Cricetulus griseus: one gene and its partners. The protein of the gene in region 3 interacts with the protein of the main gene of each other region in a biochemical or structural test. Links are inferred from orthologs where the notes say so. Each region holds a gene or a part of one and is shown on either strand. Other genes may lie near its edges.

Region 1 (5,054 bases), on a different chromosome or scaffold from region 3:
CGCAGGAGAGGTGCCTGATGCGAAAGTCTGGCAACGTGAGTTCAATCTCCAAAACCCACACATAAGAAAATAAATGAACCAGGTGGTGGTGGCACAGGCCTTTAATCCCAGCACTTGGGAGGCAGAGGCAGGTGGATCTCTGAGTTCCAGGTCAGCCTGATCTACAGAGCAAGTTCCAGAACAGCCAGAGCCACAGAGAGAAATCCTGTCTTAAAAAAGCAAAACAAAACAAAAAAGAAAATAAGTGATTTCACATGGCTGTCCTGTGACCTCCACATGCACACTGTGGCACAAGCCCACTTCCATATCATGCGCTAATAATAACAAATTAGTGTCCCCCACCACACACACACACACACAAACTCTCAGCGACTTTGTTAAAACACCAATGTCTGGCCAGGCAATTGTAGCACACGCCTTTAATCCCAGCACTTGGGAGGCAGAGGCAGGTGGACCTCTGTGAGTTCATGGCCAGCCTGGTCTACACAGTGAGTTCCAGGACAGACAGGTTCCAAAGCTACACAGAGAAACCTTGTTTCAAAAAAACAAAAACAAAATCAAACCAAACCAAAAGGAAACAAAATGCACCAATGTCTGGTAGTTGTGGGCTAGGTTCACGGCTCCTCATGTGATTTCTATACAAGGGGCTACAGGCTCACCCTTTAAGAAATATTTTCAAAGGTGGCTCCGTGGCGCAAAGGATAGGGCTCTGGACTTCTAGCGACGAAAAAGAAATACTCTTAAAAACCTTCTAGGAGCTGATGAAATCATTGCAAGGAGAACCTTATGGGGGCTTCCTAGACGTCAAAAGCACACCAAAGTTGAGCCAAGAGCACAGAGAAGGCTTTAGTTAATCAAAGAGCTTGGCTTCAAGTTCCCAAGGAGAGTCCACAGTGCCTCCTTGTGGATTTCCTGATCAACTAGAATTACCAGTTGCCAGGGAACATACACTCACAATTTTAAAATCTTATCCTGTCTTGCTTGCTCTCATGATACAGCCCCCGAAATATACTAAAATTAGACAGCAAGCTCCTTATGGCTAGACGCCTCCTTCTCCATCCCTCACCATGCTCCCAGAGTACCTCAGACATACTAGCTGAATCAACAAATAGTCCACCAATGCCCTCCTAGTTCACAGCATCCTCAGCACCAAAAGGAAGAAACTCATGGAATCTGAGCCTAGATTTGCATCCTTGCTTTAATTACTCTAGAGTGTTCATGTCACAATTTCTCACCCAAATATCACCACCACAAGATGCAAACTTTTATGTTACTTGTCTAGACAACCGGCTAATTAAAAAAACTGAGAATCTTCTAGTGGTGGGGGGGTGGAAGGGAAGAGTCAACTACCTTTGCTTTTTCTCCCATGGAGTTCTTTCTACTGCTGTTCAACTCACACTGCTCTCAAATAATTTACATTCTGGGCCCTAGGCTACTGTAGGGTAAGTCTTTTGCTTAAGGCTTTCTGCTTGGCATTCCCTTTTGTCTGCCAGCTGTGCTACACTTTCTTCCTGAGTCACTCTGCAGTCAATATATTTGACAAATTGCCCACCTTTCCTAGTGTTTTTCCTTCCAGGGTTTTTCTAGTAAATTATGTGCTGTTGATCTGTTTCTGAATCTCACTGGCGCCTCTTATCCCTACTTTGTGAGCTGAGGCCATGTTCAGCATTGTTAACTGTGTAAAAATGTTAAGTAGATTCTTTTGCCTTCTTTCTTCTCTTCTCCCTACCCCAACCGCCTTTCTGAGACAGGGTCTTACTATGTGGTCCAGGCTAGGCTCAAACTTGAGATCATCCTGCCTCAGCCTCCAGCACGCTGAGGTACTATGCATGAGGCACCTGTTCATTTCGTAAACAACTGCTCTCTTCTACCTTCAAACACACATGGCAGATGAACACATTCTGTTTTCATTCGATTACTAGTGGATAAAACTGGTTTGGAAGCAGTTGTGCTTTTGGGGTTGTGTGAAAGGCCTCTGCGGGCACTGCTGCAGATGAGGCATGACCCTGCGTACTCCAGAGCCATCCTTCCTGAGAAGACAGCACAGACTCTATGTTTCTGTGGTCTGGTGGCCTTGGAAGATGAGACACTGTGCCCTCGTGGTGTGATACCAACTCTCTAAACCCCAAGTGTAGTTGGGGGTAGAGTGCTAACCTGCCACCATCATGTGGATGGCACCATTTTCTGTGCTGTGGAGTTTTAAGCTCCTGCTGGCAGCTCCATAGGTTCAGAGCCCCCTCATCCTCAGTTACTGACAGGCCAGCCCTGCCTACAGATTGCTGCTAGAAGTCAGTGGGAGGGCTGAACAGCTGGAAGAGGTCCTGGGCCTTCACCTGATGCTTCATCACTCTGAGCCTGAGAAGAGGCCCCCATCAGACCTGGGTCGTATGTCCTCACTGAGACTCTCTAGTCTGAGGCCTGTGAACCAGAGTCATCTTGGCCAAGGAGACAGGACCATGCTCCAGCTTGCTACTAAGCTGCAGCAGAGGCACATGGTGAGTGGCAGTAACTGGGTGGAGATTCAGGCCCTGGGATCCCCTTACCTCGAACTGGATCAGCACTGTACCACTTTCTAGACCTTTCTTTAGCAGTTCCATGGATCCCTCCAGACTGTCACCACCCTCAGGACAGACAGGAAACATGGCTTCTGGGAAAAGCTGACTCAACTCATCTTCCGATCTGATCTCCGCCAGTGAGCGCACAGCTGGAACAGACATAACAGACAGGACAATGGGCTGGTCACTCTGCTTATCGGCCCAGAACACCAGGGATGGTGGTCCACTGGCCTCATCAAATGATCAAGTGCGTGGGCATCATTTGTACCCAATACCATTTCTAGGTGAGTGACCCTGACAAGCTGTGGGCCATACTCTAGGTGTGAAAATGAACATTGTTGAAGAAAGAGGTCATGGGCTGTGAACACAGTTTAGTGGTAGAGAGGTCACCTAGCATGCGTGAGGCTCTAAGTTCAGTTCCCAGAGAAGGGAAGGCAAGGGAAGGGAGGTGTGGGGAGGGGAGGGAAGGGAAGAGAAAGGAAAGGAAAGGAAAGGAAAGGAAAGGAAAGGGAAGGGAAGGGAAGGAAAGGAAAGGAAAGGAAAGGAAAGGAAAGGAAAGGAAAAGAAAAAGGGGAGGAAGGAAGGAAGGTAGGAAGGAAGGAAGGACTCTTTGGTTCCCACCCAACATCCTTAACATGGGCACTCTTCTAGACACATGTGGAGGCCCCAAGCTCTCCCTGTGACATTACTATTTCCTATAGTCTGGTTTCTTTTTACAAAAATTTTAAATTACATTTCTGTTTATCATTTTGTGTGCATGTGTGTGAGTACATGTGTATGAGCATGTGTGTATACGTATGAGAACATGTGTGTGGGGGGATGAATGTGTATGAATGCATGCATGTGTGTGAATGTGTGTGTGTGAGTGTTTGAGTGCATGTGTGTATGTGTGTGAGTGCACGTGTGTGGGGATGCATGTGAGTACATGTGTGCATGTGTGTGTATTTGAGTGCATGTGTAAGTGCATGTGTGTATGTGTGTGAGTGTTTGAGTGCATGTGTGTATGTGTGTGAGTGCACGTGTGTGTGGATGCATGTGTGTGAATATGTGTGAGAGTGTATGTGTAAATGCATGTGTGTATGTGTGTGTGTGTTTGAGTGCATGTGTGTATGTGTGTGAGTGCACGTGTGTGGGGATGCATGTGTGTGAGTGTCTGTGTGCATGTGTGTGAGAGCATGTGTGGACATCAGGGATAACTCTTAGAGTCAGTTCTCTCCTACCATGTGAGTGGGTTTTAGGCCTCGGACCTAGGTCAGCAGGCTTGGCAGTGGGTGCCTCTACCCACTGAGCTGTATCTCACTGTCCCATGGTGTTGTTCCTTTCCCTTAAGAGCCTACTTTCAATTTGAGATCAATTTTGCCAAGTGATAAGTACTAGTGCCAAGATCTCTGCATGTCAGCTCCACCTTTTCAAGTTCAATTTCTCCCTTCATGCCAGACTCTATGGAGAAAAATACAGGCCCAAGCTCCCATCCTCTGTGTGTGTGTGTGTGTGTGTGTGTGGTGTTTGGGGAGGCTAAGGCTGACATTACATGTCTTCCTCTATCACTCTCCACCTTAGACAGGGCCTGTCACTTGGCCCTAGAACTCAATGACTGGGTAGTCAAGCTAGCTGCATATTCTGGGGGGTCCCTCCTGTGCCTCCCATTTGCTGGGATAATGTACCTCATTTTTTATACGGGTGCTAGAGATTTGAATTCCAGTTCTCACTCTGTCTGCTGAGCCATGTCTCCTCCTCACTCTGCCTTATGGAATATTTTACCTCAGACGCAATCGTCAACTCCTTACTTCCTCTTCCTAAATTTGAAACTTTAGGATCATTTCTGAATTTTCCCTTTAACTCAGAAAGGGAAATTACGCCCTCACTGAGCTTTCAATGGCTCCTGACTTTCAAGACAAGAGGAAAGGAGAAAGTAACTAAACAACTTTGAATTTTCTCATATAGTTGAACTGAGCCTTCAGAATTCTGAGTCAGCTTTGAGCTTTCCATTCCAGAGAGTTTGTTCAAGGTCACCCAGCCTGTCAGGGCAGGTCATGGGAAAGCCGTCCATATCTTCACCTGACTTTAAAGGCCACATTCACTGACCACAGCAAAGCAATTTTTCTTATGATATGTGGTTTCTGTCATAATTGCAACCCTCTGTGTTACATTCGCTGACTTCCTTTCCTTTAAATCAATTCAAATTTCTCATTTACAGATTTATGCTACAAATAAGATTACTATAGGTCTTGAAAATAGGTGGTCTCCAACAGTGCTAGGTTTTCCTTACCACCAGCAGGCACCAGTCCCTTGTGGCCATCAGAGGTGGCTTTTCCTATGGGTCTGGACACCCAGCATGTCACAAATGGTGGACTGGCCCCTTTGGCCTCTTATCAATGTGTGGTATCAGAAACACAGAACAATCAATCAGAACCACATGGAAGTGGGGCAAGTGCTTTCCCCTCTCTGTGGCTTTGTTTCCTGATTCTTCTACATGTGGGTGAGGGTTAAAGCGACTGC
Region 2 (5,054 bases), about 20 Mb from region 3:
AGTTGCACATGGGCATGAGTCCAGCATCCCTCTTTTGCCCCATGTATTCCTCTATAGAATACCTTCCAACCTGTATAAAAGCATAATAGTTTGAAAGCTTTTGTGCTAAGGGAATGCTATAGTATCTTGGCAAAAGATGGTTTGCCATTCAGAATAAGGACCCATCTACCTATGGTGTGTGGCTTCTATCTCTGGCAGGTGCCAAAGTTAGACTATTATCCTCTGATAATAGTTTGCCTTGAAACTTCCAGGCACCTATTTATTCCACACTGAATGTGATTTTCCAACTGGCTTTTCTCTTTGCTCCTTTAGTCCTCTGAGGCCTGCAAAAGATCTGGGCAGGGGCTGCATTTCTCCTCCCTCTCAATCCTGAGCCCACTGCCTCTTATTCTTTCACATAGAGCCCTGCAAGAAGCTCAGGAGATCTTTGGTGTGGACTTTGACTATGATGAATTTGAGAAATACAATGAATATGATGAAGAACTGGAGGAAGACTATGAGTATGAGGATGAAGAGGCTGAAGGTGAAATCCGAGTGCGCCCCAAGAAAACCACCAAGAAGCGTGTAAGCCGTAGGAGCATCTTTGAGATGTATGAGCCCAGTGAACTGGAGAGCAGCCACCTCACAGACCAGGACAATGAAATCCGAGCCACTGACTTGCCTGAGAGGTTCCAGGTAAGAAACCACAATGAGTAGTATTCGTCATAGACTCTGAAGCCCATCCAACTCAGGTCCATGGAGTCTGTTACCTATTTATTCTGGCAGTACTGGGAATTAAACTTGATCCTCTTTTTTTTTTTTTTTTTCTCGTTTTATTTTGAAACAGAGTCTCACTAACTTAGGCTGGCCTTCAACTGACTCTAGCCCAAGCAGGTCTTAAACCTCAGCCTCCTGAGTAGCTAGGATTACAGGTCTGACATTGAAATGGCATTCTTTTTTTCTTTTTCTTTTCTTTCTCTTTTTTTTTTTTTTTGCTTGTTTGTTTTGTTATTTTTATTGTTTTGTTTGTTTTGAGGCGGGCTCTCATGTAGGCCATAATAACTCAAACTTAGTAGCCAAGGATGACCTTAAATTAAATTTCTGATTCTCTTGCCCTTTTCTGGGGGGGCGGGGCACAGAGACAGGGTTTTTCTGTGTAGCCTTGACTGTCCTGTAACTCTATTGACTAGGCTGGCCTCGAACTCACAGAGATCCGCCTGCCTCTCCCTCCTGAGTGCTGGGATTAAAGGTGTGCATCACCACTGCCCAGCATGAAATGGTATTCTTAACAGATCTGGAAAATACTCATTTCATGTCAGGTGACCTTAGAATGTGCCTAAGGATCACATGCTTCTGTTAGAAGTCGTATAGGTTTTTCCCTAAGCAGGATACAGAGTAAAAATGTCTCACCCTCTTATCCACTCCAGCTCCGCTCCATCCCTGTCAAGGCAGCTGAAGATGATGAGCTAGAAGAAGAAGCTGACTGGATCTACAGAAATGCCTTTGCCACACCAACCATTTCCCTACAGGTACTCACAAGTCTTTACTTCAGAGGCTAGAAAGCTGGCTGGGTGGATAGAAGCACTTGCCCTTACAAAGAACCTGGATTTGGTTCCCAGCACCCACATAGTAGCTTACAACTGCCTTTACATGGAGTTCTATGGGTCCTATTCCCTCTTCTGACCTCTGAGGGCACCAGGCACTTACATGGTACATATATATACATGCAGGCAAAGCATTCATACTCATAAAATAAATGTTAAACGTTCTGACATGAACCAGAGGCCAGTTGATGAAAATGAGAACCTATTCCTTCCCTGTATAATGCTTCTGTATGCCTGGGAAAGTGTATGTGTATACATATATACAAGAAAAATTTTAAGCCTGGCATGGTGGCCCAAACCTTTAATCCCACCACTCAGGAGGCAGAGGCAGGCGGATATCTGAGTTAGAGACCAGCCTGGTCTACAAAGCTCAAGTTCCAGGACAGCCAAGGCTACACAGTAAAACCCTATCTTGAAAGACCAAAAGAGGGGCTAGAGAGATGGCTCAGTGGTTAAGAGCACTGACTGTTCTTCCAGAGGTCCTGAGTTCAATTCCCAGCAACCACATGGTGGCTCACAACCACCTTGAATGAGATCTGGTGCCCTCTGCTGGCATGCAGGCACAAGACTGTATACATAATAAATTTAAAAGAAAGAAAGACCAAAAGAAAGAAAGAGATGGAAAAAAAAATTTTTTTTTAGATTTCCTCAGAAAAGGCTATCACGTTATGAAGCTCTTGTGTGGTGAGAGAGAGGGTAGCATGACTTGCTGGTTTTGTTTTGTTTTTGCCTCTTAATATAGGAAAGCTGTGATTACCTAGACCGTGGACAGCCAACCAGTAGCTTCAGTCGCAAAGGACCCAGCACAATTCAGAAGATCAAAGAGGCCCTGGGCTTCATGCGGAATCAGCATTTTGAGGTAGCTCCTTGAGCTCAAGTAACCCAGTGGTTAGAAATTCATTAGAATTTAGGGGATGGGCTGGAAAGATGGCTCAGAGGTTAAGAGCATTAACTGCCCTTCCAGAGAGAGGTCCTGAGTTTAATTCCCAGAAACTACATGATGGCTCACAATGATCTTTAATGAGACCCAATGCCCTCTTCTGGCCTGCAGGAAAACATGCAGACATAATAAATAAATAAATATTTTTTTAAAAAAATTACAGGATGAGGCAAGAGGTAGCTACAATCAAGTGGTAAACCCCCTTCCTTATCCTTAGGAGTCTCTTAACTCAAGAGTGTTATGACTAAGCCAGGCACTGGTGGCGCACACCTTTAATCCCAGCACTCCGGAGGCAGAGGCAGGCAGATCTCTGAGTTCAAGGCCATCCTGGTCTACAGAGCAAGTACCAGGACAGCCTCCAAAGCCACAGAGGAACCCTGTCTCTAAAAACAAAAAACAAAAACAAAAAACCACACAAACAAACAGTGTTATGACTAGCAAGGGGCACTAGTGACCATGGGGACAAGATTTCCTGTCTTCAATGTTACCTACTCCACTGGAGAAAACACTTTCCTGGATAGCCATTTGGAGAGGCTATTCTTGTACTTATGATTTTGTGGAGCTATTAGACTAGGAAATCGTTACCCTTTAGCAGAGAAGATATTTGCAGCTCTTTCTTCTGCTTGACAGCAGTATTCTTGCTACTGTAGGTGCCTTTTATTGCCTTCTACCGAAAGGAATATGTGGAACCTGAATTGCACATCAATGACCTGTGGAGAGTGTGGCAGTGGGATGAAAAGGTAACATGGACAGAAGGCCCACAAGGAGCTAAGAACCAGTATCAGGATGCTACAGCTCTGACTTCCAGAACTGCCAGCTTACCCCATGGGGGCTTCTGCTAAAGGGAACAGAAGACTTGGGTCTCCAGGGCTTAACACCAGACCTCACTCCTGCCTTTCTCTGCCCTAGTGGACTCAGCTGAGAATCCGAAAAGAGAACCTAACAAGGCTGTTTGAGAAGATGCAGGCTTATCAGTATGAGCAAATCTCTGCTGACCCCGACAAACCTCTTGCTGATGGCATCCGGGCTTTGGATACTACTGATATGGAGAGGTAGGACATGCAGGTTTTATTCTGTTACAGGGAGCGGCCAGACTGAAGGCAGGTCCTCAGGAACACTGTTACTTTGCAGAATTTGCAGCATGGGGCCCCAACCCTTAGAACCCAAATTGTTAATACATCAAAAATGATTCCCCCCCCCCAGGGTCTCTGTGTAGCTCTGTCTGTCCTAGAATTCACTGTGTATACCAAGTTGGCATCGAACTCATACAGATACACCTGAAGGGGAAGCTGTAACCACGCCTACTTAGGGGCTGGCTACAGGTGTGCCTGACCACGCTTGAGAGGGAGTGGTCAGAGTGATGTAGTGTGACTGTGTTTGCTCTTTCGGTTTCTCTTTTGGGCTTGCATACAGACTGCTGCCACGCTGGCTGGCTAGGTCGCTCTGTAAGTAAGGCTTTTCCCTATTAAATACCCTTATATTTCTACCTGACTCCGTATTGGTAATTCCCACTATATATACCTGCCTCTGCCTCCCAAGTGGGACTGAAGGTCTATGCCACCATGCCCAACTAAAAGTGAATTTTCTGGCTGAACGGTGTTGGAAGGTAGAGCTTGGAAGATCATGAGTTGAAAGTCATCTATATAAAACTCCATGGGGAGCAGGGGAATAGTCTGACAGATTTGATTCATTTTAGTTTTCCATATAACTATATAGAAAACAAACTGACTTATTTACCAAGCCTTTGTATCAAGTATTCACATTTGGTAATAATATGCATTTATTCCATGTTGGTAATGCTACATAAGAGACAGTTTATATTTAATTTGGTAGCCTGAATAATGTGGTATTGGAGGGCAACAGGTGGTTTTGGTGGATAGTATTTACAAGCTGAGTAGTAGTTTCAAAGACTGAACTTCACTAAATGTGTTGCCTGGTCTGCCTCTTCCTTATACTGCTTTTTTTTTTGTTTTGTTTTGTTTTTTTGAGGTAACTGTGCAGCCCATACTGACCTGAGACTTGTAACCTAGTCTGTTTCTAGTGCTGAGATTATAGATGTGTGGTGCCACACCTGGCCTTTGTACTTTCATTTCTAATAATTACCACTAACCATTTCAATTTGACATGTTTTGTGTATGTGTGTATATATTTTTACAAGATTTCATACGGTACAGTCTGGCCTCAAAGTCCTAATATTTCCACCTCTCAAGTTCTAGGACACCACTCCCAGCTTACTTGTTTGTTTTTGAAATAGGCTATTGTTGAATGTCCCAGGCTGATGTTGGGCTTTTGGCAGGCCTCTTGCTTGAGTCTCTAACTATTACAACCGTGCACTGCCACTCCCAACAACTTATATTTCTTTAAAATATCCTGGCTGTGTAGTCTGGGACTGCTGTGTGGCTTTGCTCATCTTACTTGATCTTGCTTCTTGGGAATTAGAAGTATTACAGCAAAGCTTGTCCCCAGTAATAGAATCTTGCATCTTTCCCCTGCAGGCTCAAAGATGTACAGTCAATGGATGAACTGAAAGA
Region 3 (5,054 bases):
ATGTGAGTTTTGGGAATTGAACTCACAGATGTATGGCAGAATCTCACTGACCAGTTTCATTGCCTTCTCCTGGTTATGCCTCAGTGCCCTCATGTAAAATGCAGACCAGTAGCTCTACCCTCAAGGTGGTGCTAAAGTCTGAAAGAGTTAATATTTGGGACACTCTTAGAACAGGGCTTGACAGATACTGAGCACTCTCGGTGTTTGTATTTCAGAGCCTGCAGAGAGCAGGGTTTTACGTAGCAGCAATCTTATTCACTAATGACTACCTGGGTAATTTTCAAATTTCTCTCATACAAACAGTTCAGCTTGTTTATGCCTCTGGCAGCTGAAGCCAGTGTCTCTGCCGGCCAGACTTCTGCAAATGAGACTTCTAGATCAAAGGACACAAATGTTGCTCTGCTGGACTTGGACCCTAGGCTTTGACTCTTGGGATGGGAGCAGCCAGGCTTGATTGGGCTTTAAGTAAAGGACTTGGTGTGGATGGAGAGTGGTGTGTCAAGGCCTTCTGGGCCTCCTGCTCTCCATCTTCCTGCCCTACTCATTCCTCCTGATCCTTCTAGGAACCCTGCCTCCGGCGTTGCTCCCCTGAAGCCTGAGCAGCTCCAAGTGTTTGAAACCCTGGAGGAGATCACAGGTGGGCCCTGTCTTTCTGTGTCCTGCTCCATGGGGGCCAGGAGTTCTGGACCTTTCTGCATACCCGGCCCCCTCCTCTGCCCGCAGGTTATCTATACATTTCAGCATGGCCAGACAGCCTCCATGACCTTAGCGTCTTCCAGAACCTTCGAGTCATTCGGGGACGAATTCTCCATGAGTAAGTGTGTGGAGAGGGAGCCTAGGAGGCATGACACCACAGTAGCTTTTAACATGAGTTGACAGAGTGTTTTGAGGCAGGGGGAGGTACCTGTTGGCTGGAAATGGACCTAGAGTAGGTACCTCCTTGCAACTGGAAACTTTATTTCCATAGTGGCGCCTACTCATTGACGCTGCAAGGCCTGGGAATCCACTGGTTGGGGCTGCGTTCACTGCGGGAGCTGGGCAGCGGACTGGTACTCATTCACCGCAACACCCGTCTCTGCTTTGTACATACTGTACCTTGGGACCAGCTCTTCCGGAACCCGCACCAGGCTTTGCTCCACAGTGGGAACCAGCCAGAGGAGGAATGTGGTAAGACAGGAAGGCCAGCCCTGTGGGCCAGTACACAGAAGTGTCAATAGCCTCTGGCCTGTGCAAACCTTTTTAGCCCTGCTTTGTTGTTGTTTTGCGATAGGATCTCACTATGCAGCCCTGGCTGTCCTGGAGCTCACTCTGGATACCAGGCTGGCCTCAAACTCACAGGGCTCTGCCTGCTTCTGCCTCCCGAGTGCTGGGATTAAAGGCATGCCCACTGGAGCCATTCTTCACTTCCCAGTGATGGTTTGGCATTGTGACATGGCTTCCAGCTGTGTCCTTCCATGCTGCCCAAACATCCATCCCTTCCTTGTTGTTGAACCACAGAATTCTTCCTCACCCTGAATGTCCTGGCATCAACCCCTTTAGCCAGAGCCATGCTCATTCACAGCCTTTTTGCTTAGACCTGAGTGAGCCTCTCCTAATACCTCTCCTGCTTTTCTCCTCATTGCAGATCGCAAGGACTTGGCCTGCTACCCATTGTGTGCCCATGGGCACTGCTGGGGGCCAGGACCCACCCAGTGTGTCAACTGCAGTCACTTCCTTCGGGGCCAGGAGTGTGTGAAGGAGTGCCGAGTATCGAAGGGGTATGAGTAGCAGAGGAGTGGGGTGGCTTGAGGGGTACACACATGGGGACCTCCCAGACCCCTTACTATACCTGCCTCTCTTACAGGCTCCCTAGGGAGTATGTGGATGGCAAGCATTGTCTGCCATGCCACCCCGAGTGTCAGCCTCAAAACAACACAGAGACCTGCATTGGATCGGTGAGGTGCTGGTGGCCTCGAGGGGGGGGGAGATGGGACACGGACAGACAGACAGACAGACAGACAGACAGACACACACACACACACACACACACACACACACACACACGGGGACAGGACGACACCGGCAAGCAAAAGGGTACCGGGGGTCTGTTAAGTTGCTGCAGGGTAAAATGTTCCTAGAGAAGGCTCAGCTCAGACCTGGACAGCAGGAGGGGAGAAGGTCAGGAAGGCTGGAATGGGGGCACTGCTCTGCCCTCATTGTACTGTGGACCATGGGCTCTCCCTTCACGCTGGTGACACTGGAGCCCTTCAGACAGTCCCAAGAAGGCCTGTGTCCTTGGTTCTAGCTGTGCTAGGGACCACATCCAGGCCCTGTTTCCACCCTCAGTTTTCACTTCTATAAGGAGAATGTTGTAATAGTTCCTACCTGGTTGGGGTGTGGTGAGAATGAAATTAAATAGGATTTGGCACGGTGCCCAAGCACGGAAAAAACTTTGTACATAATAGTTGTCACTTGTCACACCTTAGAGAACGCACGTCCCTCTCTGGGTGCCTCCATTTCCTTGTAAAGAGCAGGGATGTTTACCCCAGTGACAGGGAGGCAGTGTTGCTGCAAGGTCAGGGACACAGGGCCTGGTCCTTCTGCTGTAGGGATGGTGATCCCAACCCCACAAACCCTTCCTCTCTATCCAGGAGGCTGACCAGTGTACCGCTTGCGCCCACTACAAGGACTCCTCCTCCTGTGTGGCTCGCTGCCCCAGTGGTGTGAAGCCAGACCTCTCCTACATGCCCATCTGGAAGTACCCGGATGCGGAGGGCATATGCCAGCCGTGTCCCATCAACTGCACCCACTCGTGAGTGGAAGGGTTTTTTTCTGTAGAAAGGAAGGCTTTCATGATAGTAGCCTCCCTGGAGCTCTTACTGTGAAAGGGGGATAAATCCACCTTCATTCATATTGAGATATAATTTTTTGTTTGTTTTTTTGTTTTGTTTTTCCAAGACTGGGTTTCTTTGTGTTAACAGTTCTCGCTGTCCTGGAACTTGCTTTGTAGGCCAGGCTGGCCTTGAACTCACAGAGATCTACCTGCCTCTGCCTCCTGAGTGCTGGGATTAAAGATGCATCACCACTGCTGGGCTGAGTGGTAATTTTTATATTTCTTTTCTAATTATAAAAATAACACAGGCGCTAGAGAGGTGGTTCAGTGGTTTAGAGAACTTGCTGTGCTTCCAGAGGGTTGGAACTTGGTTCCTAGCACACATATCAGGAGACTCAGGTTGCCTGTTAACTAGCGTCAGGAGATCTGGTCCTATTTTCCAGTCTCCGAGGGTACCCATTGCCCCTCTCCACCATACACACACTTCCCCACACACAAACCCACACACACACACATACCATACACACCACACAGGCTCATACATGTAAATAAAATTAAAAAATAACACATTGGGCTGGAGAGAGGCTCAATGGTTAAGAGCACTGGCTGCTCTTCCAGAGGTCCTGAGTTCAATTCCCAGCAACCACATGGTGGCTCACAACCATCCGTTATGAGATTTGGTGCCCTCTTCTGGAATATACATGGAAGCAGAATGTTGTATACGTAATAAATAAATAAATAAATAAATAAATAAATAAATAAAATCTTTTAAAAAAACACATTAGGGGCTGGAGAGGTGGTTCAGGGGTTAAGAGTGCTTGCTGCTTTTTCAGAGGACTGGAATTTGGTCCATCAGGAGACTCATGCTTTCTGTGAACTCTAGCCTCAGGAGCTCTAAGGCTTTTTTTCTGGCCTCTGCAGGTACACACATATACTCAGACACATACAGACATAAAAAATGAAAAACAACACATTAGAGGATGGCTCAGTGGGCAGAGAGGCACTTGCTCAAAAATCTGATGGTTTCAGTTAAATCACCAGGGAAAACAGTTCAAATTATCCACAGTAGAATTTCCAGCAGCGCCGGGCATTGGTGGCGCACACTTAATCCCAGCACTCAGGAGGCAGAGGCAGGAGGATCTCTGTGAGTTCGAGGCTGGCCTGGTCTACAGAGCGAGTGCCAGGATAGGCTCCAAACAATACAGAGAACCCTGTATCAAAAAAACCAAAAAAAAAAAAAAAAAAAAAAAAAAAAAAGAAAGAAAAAGAAAAAAAAAGAAAAAGAAAAGAATTGCTAGCAGCATTCTTTTATACCTCACATGGCAATTTAACATTTTAATGTGTTATTATAAAAATTATTCTAATTACATTTATTTGTGTATGTGTGTGCATGCTGAGCAGGCATGTGTGTGCATGACAGGTATTTGGAGGTCAGAGGACAACCTCCCGGAGTTGGTTCTCTCCTTTTACCATGTGGGTCCCAGGGATTGAACACAATCATCAGGGTTGATTGCAAATGCCCTTACCTGCTGAGCCATCTTGCCAAACAACATGTGAACCACCCTTCCTTCCTTCCTTCCTTCCTTCCTTCCTTCCTTCCTTCCTTCCTTCCTTCCCTCCCTCCTTCCTTCCCTCCCTCCTTCCTCCCTTCCTCCCTTCCCTCCTTCCTTCCTTCCTTCTTCTTTAAGACTTTGTTATTTTATGTGTATGGGGTATGTTTTAGTTAGGGTTTCTATTGCTGTGATAAACCCCATGATCTAAAGTAACTTAGGCAGAAAAAGGTTTATTTAACTCCCACTTCCACATCACAGTCCATCAGCCATGGAAGTCAGGGCAGGAACTCCAGACAGAAATCTGGAGGCAGGAATTGACAGAGGACATGGAGGCTTGCTCAGCCTGTCTGAACCACCAGCCCAGGAGTGGCACTGCCCACAGTGAGCTGTGCCTACCCAGATCCATCACCAGTCAAGAAAATGCACTAGGCTTGCACGTAGGCCAGTCTGGTGGCAGCATTTTCTCAGTTGAGGTTCACCTCTTCCCAAGTGACTATAGCTTATGTCAAGTTGACATAAAAGTGGCCAGTGCAGACTATGTGCACCATGTGTGTGCTGTGGACACCAGAAAAGGCAGTCAGATCCCTTGGAACTGGAGTTAACAGACTGTGAGCCATCATCTAGCTGTGAGTCAAGCCCAGGTCCTCTAGAAGAGCAGTCAGTGCTCGTAACTCCTATGGGCTCTCCTG
Region 4 (5,054 bases), on a different chromosome or scaffold from region 3:
GAAGGGATCTTACTGTGTGTCAGGTCCCAAAGAAACCAGGGGGAATGTTTCCTTCAGTAGTTGTGGTGCCTCCCAACACTTCCGGGGCTCCTTCTCTCCCAGCTTCTCTTTCCTGTGTAAACTCAACCGTGTGGCTACGGCTCTCTCGGTTCCTGGCTCCTCCCTAGTCTCTTAGTTCTCATGTTCTCTGTTTCTCTCTATTCTCTTCCCCTTTTGCTCCTTACTCCTCCATGGTCCATTCAGTCTGCTGGCCCAGTTCAGCCTGGACCCTTCCAGATGACTCTGGCTGTTCTCTCCCTCATATCTACAATAAAACTTTCTCCTTAACCATTACCTTGGAGCAACCACGTCATCGTTTTCATTCACTGTGCAGCCCAGGCTGACCTCAAATTCTCAATCCCCCAAGTGGTTAGGGTTTCAGATGTATATTGTCACACTTGGCTTCTAACCAGGCCTTAATTAGCCTCCTTCATCTCTGCCTCCCTCTCTCCCTCCCTCCCTTTTTCTTTTCTATATGCTGGTGATTGAACCAAGGCCTTGTACATGCTAAGCAAGTGCTTTACCATTGAGATACATGTCCAGCTTTAGTTTAACCTTTTGAACTAGCAGAAAAACTCAAGAGGCCTTAAAGTCAGCTCATCCAACCCTTCAGAAAAATGCTTGCAGTCCATAACTCCTATGTGCAGGGAGGGCATGCTCTGATGGCATTTAGAACACAGGCAGGAATGGAACCACCCATGCGAGAACATCTTTAAAACAGCCACACATTGGTACACATGCGCAATGGAATTAGAACAATGAACTTCCAGCATTCTCACACAAGAAAACATGGACAGACCCGAAGATCATTTTGTTGCGTGAAGTTTATTAGATTCAGAAGGACAAACCACATTTTTCTCATATGTAAGATCCAGATTTAAATTTATATGTATAAATACATATGTATGGAGGACATGAAAATTCAGAAACCCGGACTATGAGACAGGAGCAAGAGGTCTAAAGTGGAAGGAAGGCAATGAAATATAGGCAGAAGGCGGTCTCTTTGGGGATAGGAGTGTCACGGCAAGGTGCAAAGGATGGGGCAGTACAGGGGAAGGTCAAGAAAGAAGAGCATATTGGTCACAGAGATCGCATGCACCTGTAACCCCAGCACATAGGAGGCTGAGGCATAAAGTTAGAGTTTGAGGTTAACTTGGGCTAGACTCAGATTCTGTCTCAAAAAAAAAAAAAGAAACAAAAACAAAAAAAAAGACCCCCAAAGTGTAATGATTTATAGATATAAAAAGGTCAGAATAAAACCCATTTCTCTGTATGCTAATAAAAAATAATAATAAAATAAATATTATTATCACATTTATCAAAAGGCAGAGCTGACAAAGTGATTGCTGTATATACAGACTTGGGGAAAATCAGGAAAAACCGAGGCCAGAGGAATGCCTGGCAGGAAGTCAACCTTTGAAGAGATGGGGCTAGGTCAAACGAGAGGGAAAGGGAACATTGGTGGGTCACAGCCCTCATCAGGACCAAGACCTCCACAGCTGGAGGACATGTTTGCTTCTTCAGCATCCTTAGACCTTGATTCCTCTGCTCAGACGCCAGCTCCACCTGGGACAACCAGGCTCAACAGAGGGTCCAGGTTAGTGTGTGTGAACCACTCAACCACACCAGAGAGGGCGGTTTGCCAAAAGTCACAGAACACAGGTTGGGGACTCTGAAGTTACTACAGAGTATTGTTTCCTTTCTATGAAGCTGCCCTTCCCTTTGTCCTGTTAGATGTTGTCAGCCAGGATGCAATGGCAATGCCTGGATTCCGGCTGTCCAATTCCAAGATAGGAGAGTAACAGGTGACGGTGGCTTTGGAGCTTCTTGTGAGTGTGCCAGGAGTCAGACATGTGGGAAGGGACTTCTCCAAGGCTTCAGTTGAGAAGATCCTGCTACCCAGGTCAGGAGGGTCTCAGAGGCCCTCTAGAAGTTGGCATTTTAGATAGACACTTGCAGAGGTGGTGGCCGCTGAGAGCTCTGCCATCTCAGCCCTCCCTTAGCTTGTTTTGTCCTATGTCCTTGTCTTCAAGGCAAGATATCCACATAGTCCTCGTTAGTGTTCTCTGGGGAAAAGCAAAGGACAGCCATGAGATGCCACACCCAGAAGTCCCACCAGCCATCCCAACTCGAGGAAAAGGACACCAGGCACAAAGCAGTGCTGATGCCACATCAAAGAGACATCTTCAAAGGCTGCAGTGGCACTAGGGACTTGCTTGGACAAATAGGGTTTGTTTGTTTTTTGTTTGTTTTTGCTTTTTGATAAGTGGATCCTTAGTTTCTAGTACTCAGTGTCTACCTTCACCAGTGAAAATCCCATGCCTTCGTCAGAGTAGCTCTGCATGGAGCTGGTTCTGAGGAGGCAAGAGGAAGGGAAGGCATTTCCCCTTTGGTAGCTAAGTACGTGGAGCACACTCTACCAAGTCTGACTATGCTTGGAAAATTGGTGTGGCCAGACCCATGTCCAGTTCTTGGGAAAGACCTCTCCCAAGCCCATTCTCTTCCAGGGATTTAGTAGCCTTTCATTATACCTCAGACAAAAGTATTACCATCCCAGCCACTCCCAGCAACTCATCTTGATTTGCACAAGTGTCTGGCTTTGACACCTTTATGCTTTCTTCCCCTTAATACCTTTGGGTGTGTGTGTGTGCATGCATGTATATAGGTATGTATGCAGGTGTATCTACACAAGGGTGCCTGTGTGTGGTCAGAGGTTAGCCTGACATGTTGTTCTTCAGGCTCCATCTACTCTATTTTTTGAAACAAGGTCTTCCTCTGGCTTGGAGCTCACCAGGTGTGATGGTCAGGAAGCCCCATGGATCTACCTGTGTCTGTTTCTTCAGCACTGAGATTACAAGCATGTGCCACGTTGTACAGATTTTCAAAGCCATCATTTCTAGGGATCCAACTTAGGGCCTCACACAAGCAAGGCAAGCACTTTACCAACCGGGCTATTTCTCCAGCCCTTTCAGACTTCCTAATTCTGTAAGTTTTGATGGAAAAGAGCAGTGCGGCTATATCTGTGGCTGGACTTAAACGAAATTATCAGATTGTATTGTCCACACAATCCCCTGAATGATGATGAATGGCTGGAAGTAATGTTAGGGGGGCAAGGTTTTATTTTAGTCATTAAAATCTCACGCTTTATCTTTTTAGAGAAATGAGAAGCTTACCACGGCAGCCGAAAAAAGGGACTTTGCTCAGGCAGAATAGCATGGATGCTGGCAGGCTCCCTGAGAGCTCGTGCCCTCTCATCTTTCTCCCTAGTTAGTAGATCTGCTGTCATCACCATTGCCACCCACAGACAACTGCAATCCCTCTCACACAAAATGAAACCACACATTTCATCATGAGCGATTGGGTGGGACCAGAAACGTCTCTGCATGTCTGTGTTTAATTCAAAATTTGCCGCAATGGGCAGATGATGAAGATGAGGGTAAGCTCGAAATATGATCTGAGAGTGCTGTGAACAGACTTTCCTCACACGTGCTGACCCCCACCCCCACCCCACCCCGCCGTGTCTCGGTGGCTTCATACCTTTAGGGATATATATATATATGAAATAATTTGTCCCTGATCATTTTATAAATGAATGCTTAGCAAAGATTGAACAAAATGTAATAGGATAAGCCTTGGTGGGTGATTTGACATGAGTCTTTTCAGTGAAAACCTGCCCACATGTGCATTTATTACCATGGTGGACTGCGCATGCCCACAGAATGAAACCCAAGTCAGCTTTTTGGTCAGGACCTTTCCTTGCCTTCCTGGTTGTCCTAGCACAGACAACTCTATGTCTTGGCCACTTGCAGGGGCTAGGAGATATTGTTTCTCAGTACAGTAGAAATTGCACTTAGCAAGATGAAGCTCTTTAATGTCCTAGACCAAGTCAGCAATTTCCATCAACTCTACAGAGTAGAGCTGGACGCAGGCTTCGGGGTCCCTCCTGACCCTTTGTCAGGGCTCTTACCATAAACATTCATCTCTAACTTCATCCTTCTCCCTCTTGGGCAGAAGCCGCTTCTCATCATTGGGTTTGAAAGGTGAATCACCAGACCTTGACCTGGCTTTTCATACTTGGAGACTAATTCTTCTAGGTTCGGAAAGATCTGTTTTGGAGCACCTTCCACAGTCTGCAAAGACATAAGAAAGGTCACTGCGCAGCTGTGGTTAAAATGTGACACTTCTTGCAACAGTGGTTTTGAGGGCTGCCCGAGAGACAAGCGAAAAGTAAGACGCTAGCAGCTCAGGCCTAGGGCTCTTACCAACAGCATTTCATAGAGGTTCCTCATTCTGAAGAGGAACCTTGTGCCCAAACAACTCTGTATAAAGGGGGCTTTTACTTAAAAGTTCCCCAGTCACTGTGCTGAGTGAGCCCCATCCTTGGCAATTTGTCTGGACTGGCTCTTATTGTAGCTTCACTGTAGTTAGTTCCCTGTCAGACTGTGTCATGCTGCTGGCCTTTGGTCAATTGGGGACTCCTGAGAGAAAATGCAAAATAATTGACATATAAGGTGCCTACTCGGACTCTCCACAGGGTGCAGATAGAAGAAACAAGCCCCAGTTTGTACTGAGAGTAGGATGACAACATGACTTAGTGAAATCACAGACTTGTTTTCCGGTTAGCAACTAGAAAGAAAAAAAAAATCCTCTTTTCTGATAGGTGCTTACAGAAGGAATTCAAAAACACAAAGCGTTTTCTTCCTCTGCTCCTTTGTATGTGGTTTTCTTGGTCATCGCTGTGGTGATCCTATGGCCCTAGCATCGCCAACAGGTATGGTTAGGAATGAGGTTTTCTGAAGTGCATGCTTAACCTCCATACACTTCACTGTGCATTCCTTTAATGGGGTCACTTCAGCTCCTAGTGTCACCTGCTGCAGGGCTGTGAGTGTAAAGCCTTCCCTTGGCCAAATGCTTCTCTGTATCTGAGGTATGTGTTGTATGGAGGGCTCCCCTTTTGGTTCAGAAAAATGAACAAAAGGGACAAAATAGGTTCTGAGGGAATATCCAGAATTCCC

What was found.
Region 1: of the proteins of Erbb2 (region 3) and Ptpn3, one has a biochemical effect on the other in vitro, tested with the Homo sapiens proteins (2 studies listed by IntAct, with this or other methods). The link is inferred for Cricetulus griseus from reciprocal best matches to the Homo sapiens genes ERBB2 and PTPN3.
Region 2: the proteins of Erbb2 (region 3) and Supt6h form a complex in vitro, tested with the Homo sapiens proteins (2 studies listed by BioGRID and IntAct, with this or other methods). The link is inferred for Cricetulus griseus from reciprocal best matches to the Homo sapiens genes ERBB2 and SUPT6H.
Region 4: the proteins of Erbb2 (region 3) and Sh2d1b form a complex in vitro, tested with the Homo sapiens proteins (2 studies listed by BioGRID and IntAct, with this or other methods). The link is inferred for Cricetulus griseus from reciprocal best matches to the Homo sapiens genes ERBB2 and SH2D1B.

What each region holds. Positions count from the first base shown.
Region 1 is NC_048595.1:86,666,579-86,671,632, reverse strand, and holds part of Ptpn3 (tyrosine-protein phosphatase non-receptor type 3), read right to left. Parts: intron 2,840-5,054; exon of another isoform or gene 2,705-2,839; coding exon 2,544-2,704; intron 1-2,543.
Region 2 is NC_048600.1:91,616,897-91,621,950, reverse strand, and holds part of Supt6h (transcription elongation factor SPT6), read left to right. Parts: intron 1-401; coding exon 402-675; intron 676-1,406; coding exon 1,407-1,508; intron 1,509-2,325; coding exon 2,326-2,442; intron 2,443-3,173; coding exon 3,174-3,263; intron 3,264-3,432; coding exon 3,433-3,575; intron 3,576-5,018; coding exon 5,019-5,054.
Region 3 is NC_048600.1:111,550,043-111,555,096, forward strand, and holds part of Erbb2 (receptor tyrosine-protein kinase erbB-2), read left to right. Parts: intron 1-563; coding exon 564-637; intron 638-723; coding exon 724-814; intron 815-967; coding exon 968-1,167; intron 1,168-1,624; coding exon 1,625-1,757; intron 1,758-1,843; coding exon 1,844-1,934; intron 1,935-2,630; coding exon 2,631-2,791; intron 2,792-5,054. UniProt on the Homo sapiens protein: Protein tyrosine kinase that is part of several cell surface receptor complexes, but that apparently needs a coreceptor for ligand binding. Essential component of a neuregulin-receptor complex, although neuregulins do not interact with it alone.
Region 4 is NC_048598.1:22,544,682-22,549,735, forward strand, and holds the end of Sh2d1b (SH2 domain-containing protein 1B), read right to left. Parts: intron 4,170-5,054; coding exon 4,007-4,169; intron 2,106-4,006; coding exon 2,068-2,105; 3' UTR 846-2,067; downstream 1-845. UniProt on the Homo sapiens protein: Cytoplasmic adapter regulating receptors of the signaling lymphocytic activation molecule (SLAM) family such as CD84, SLAMF1, LY9 and CD244. In SLAM signaling seems to cooperate with SH2D1A/SAP.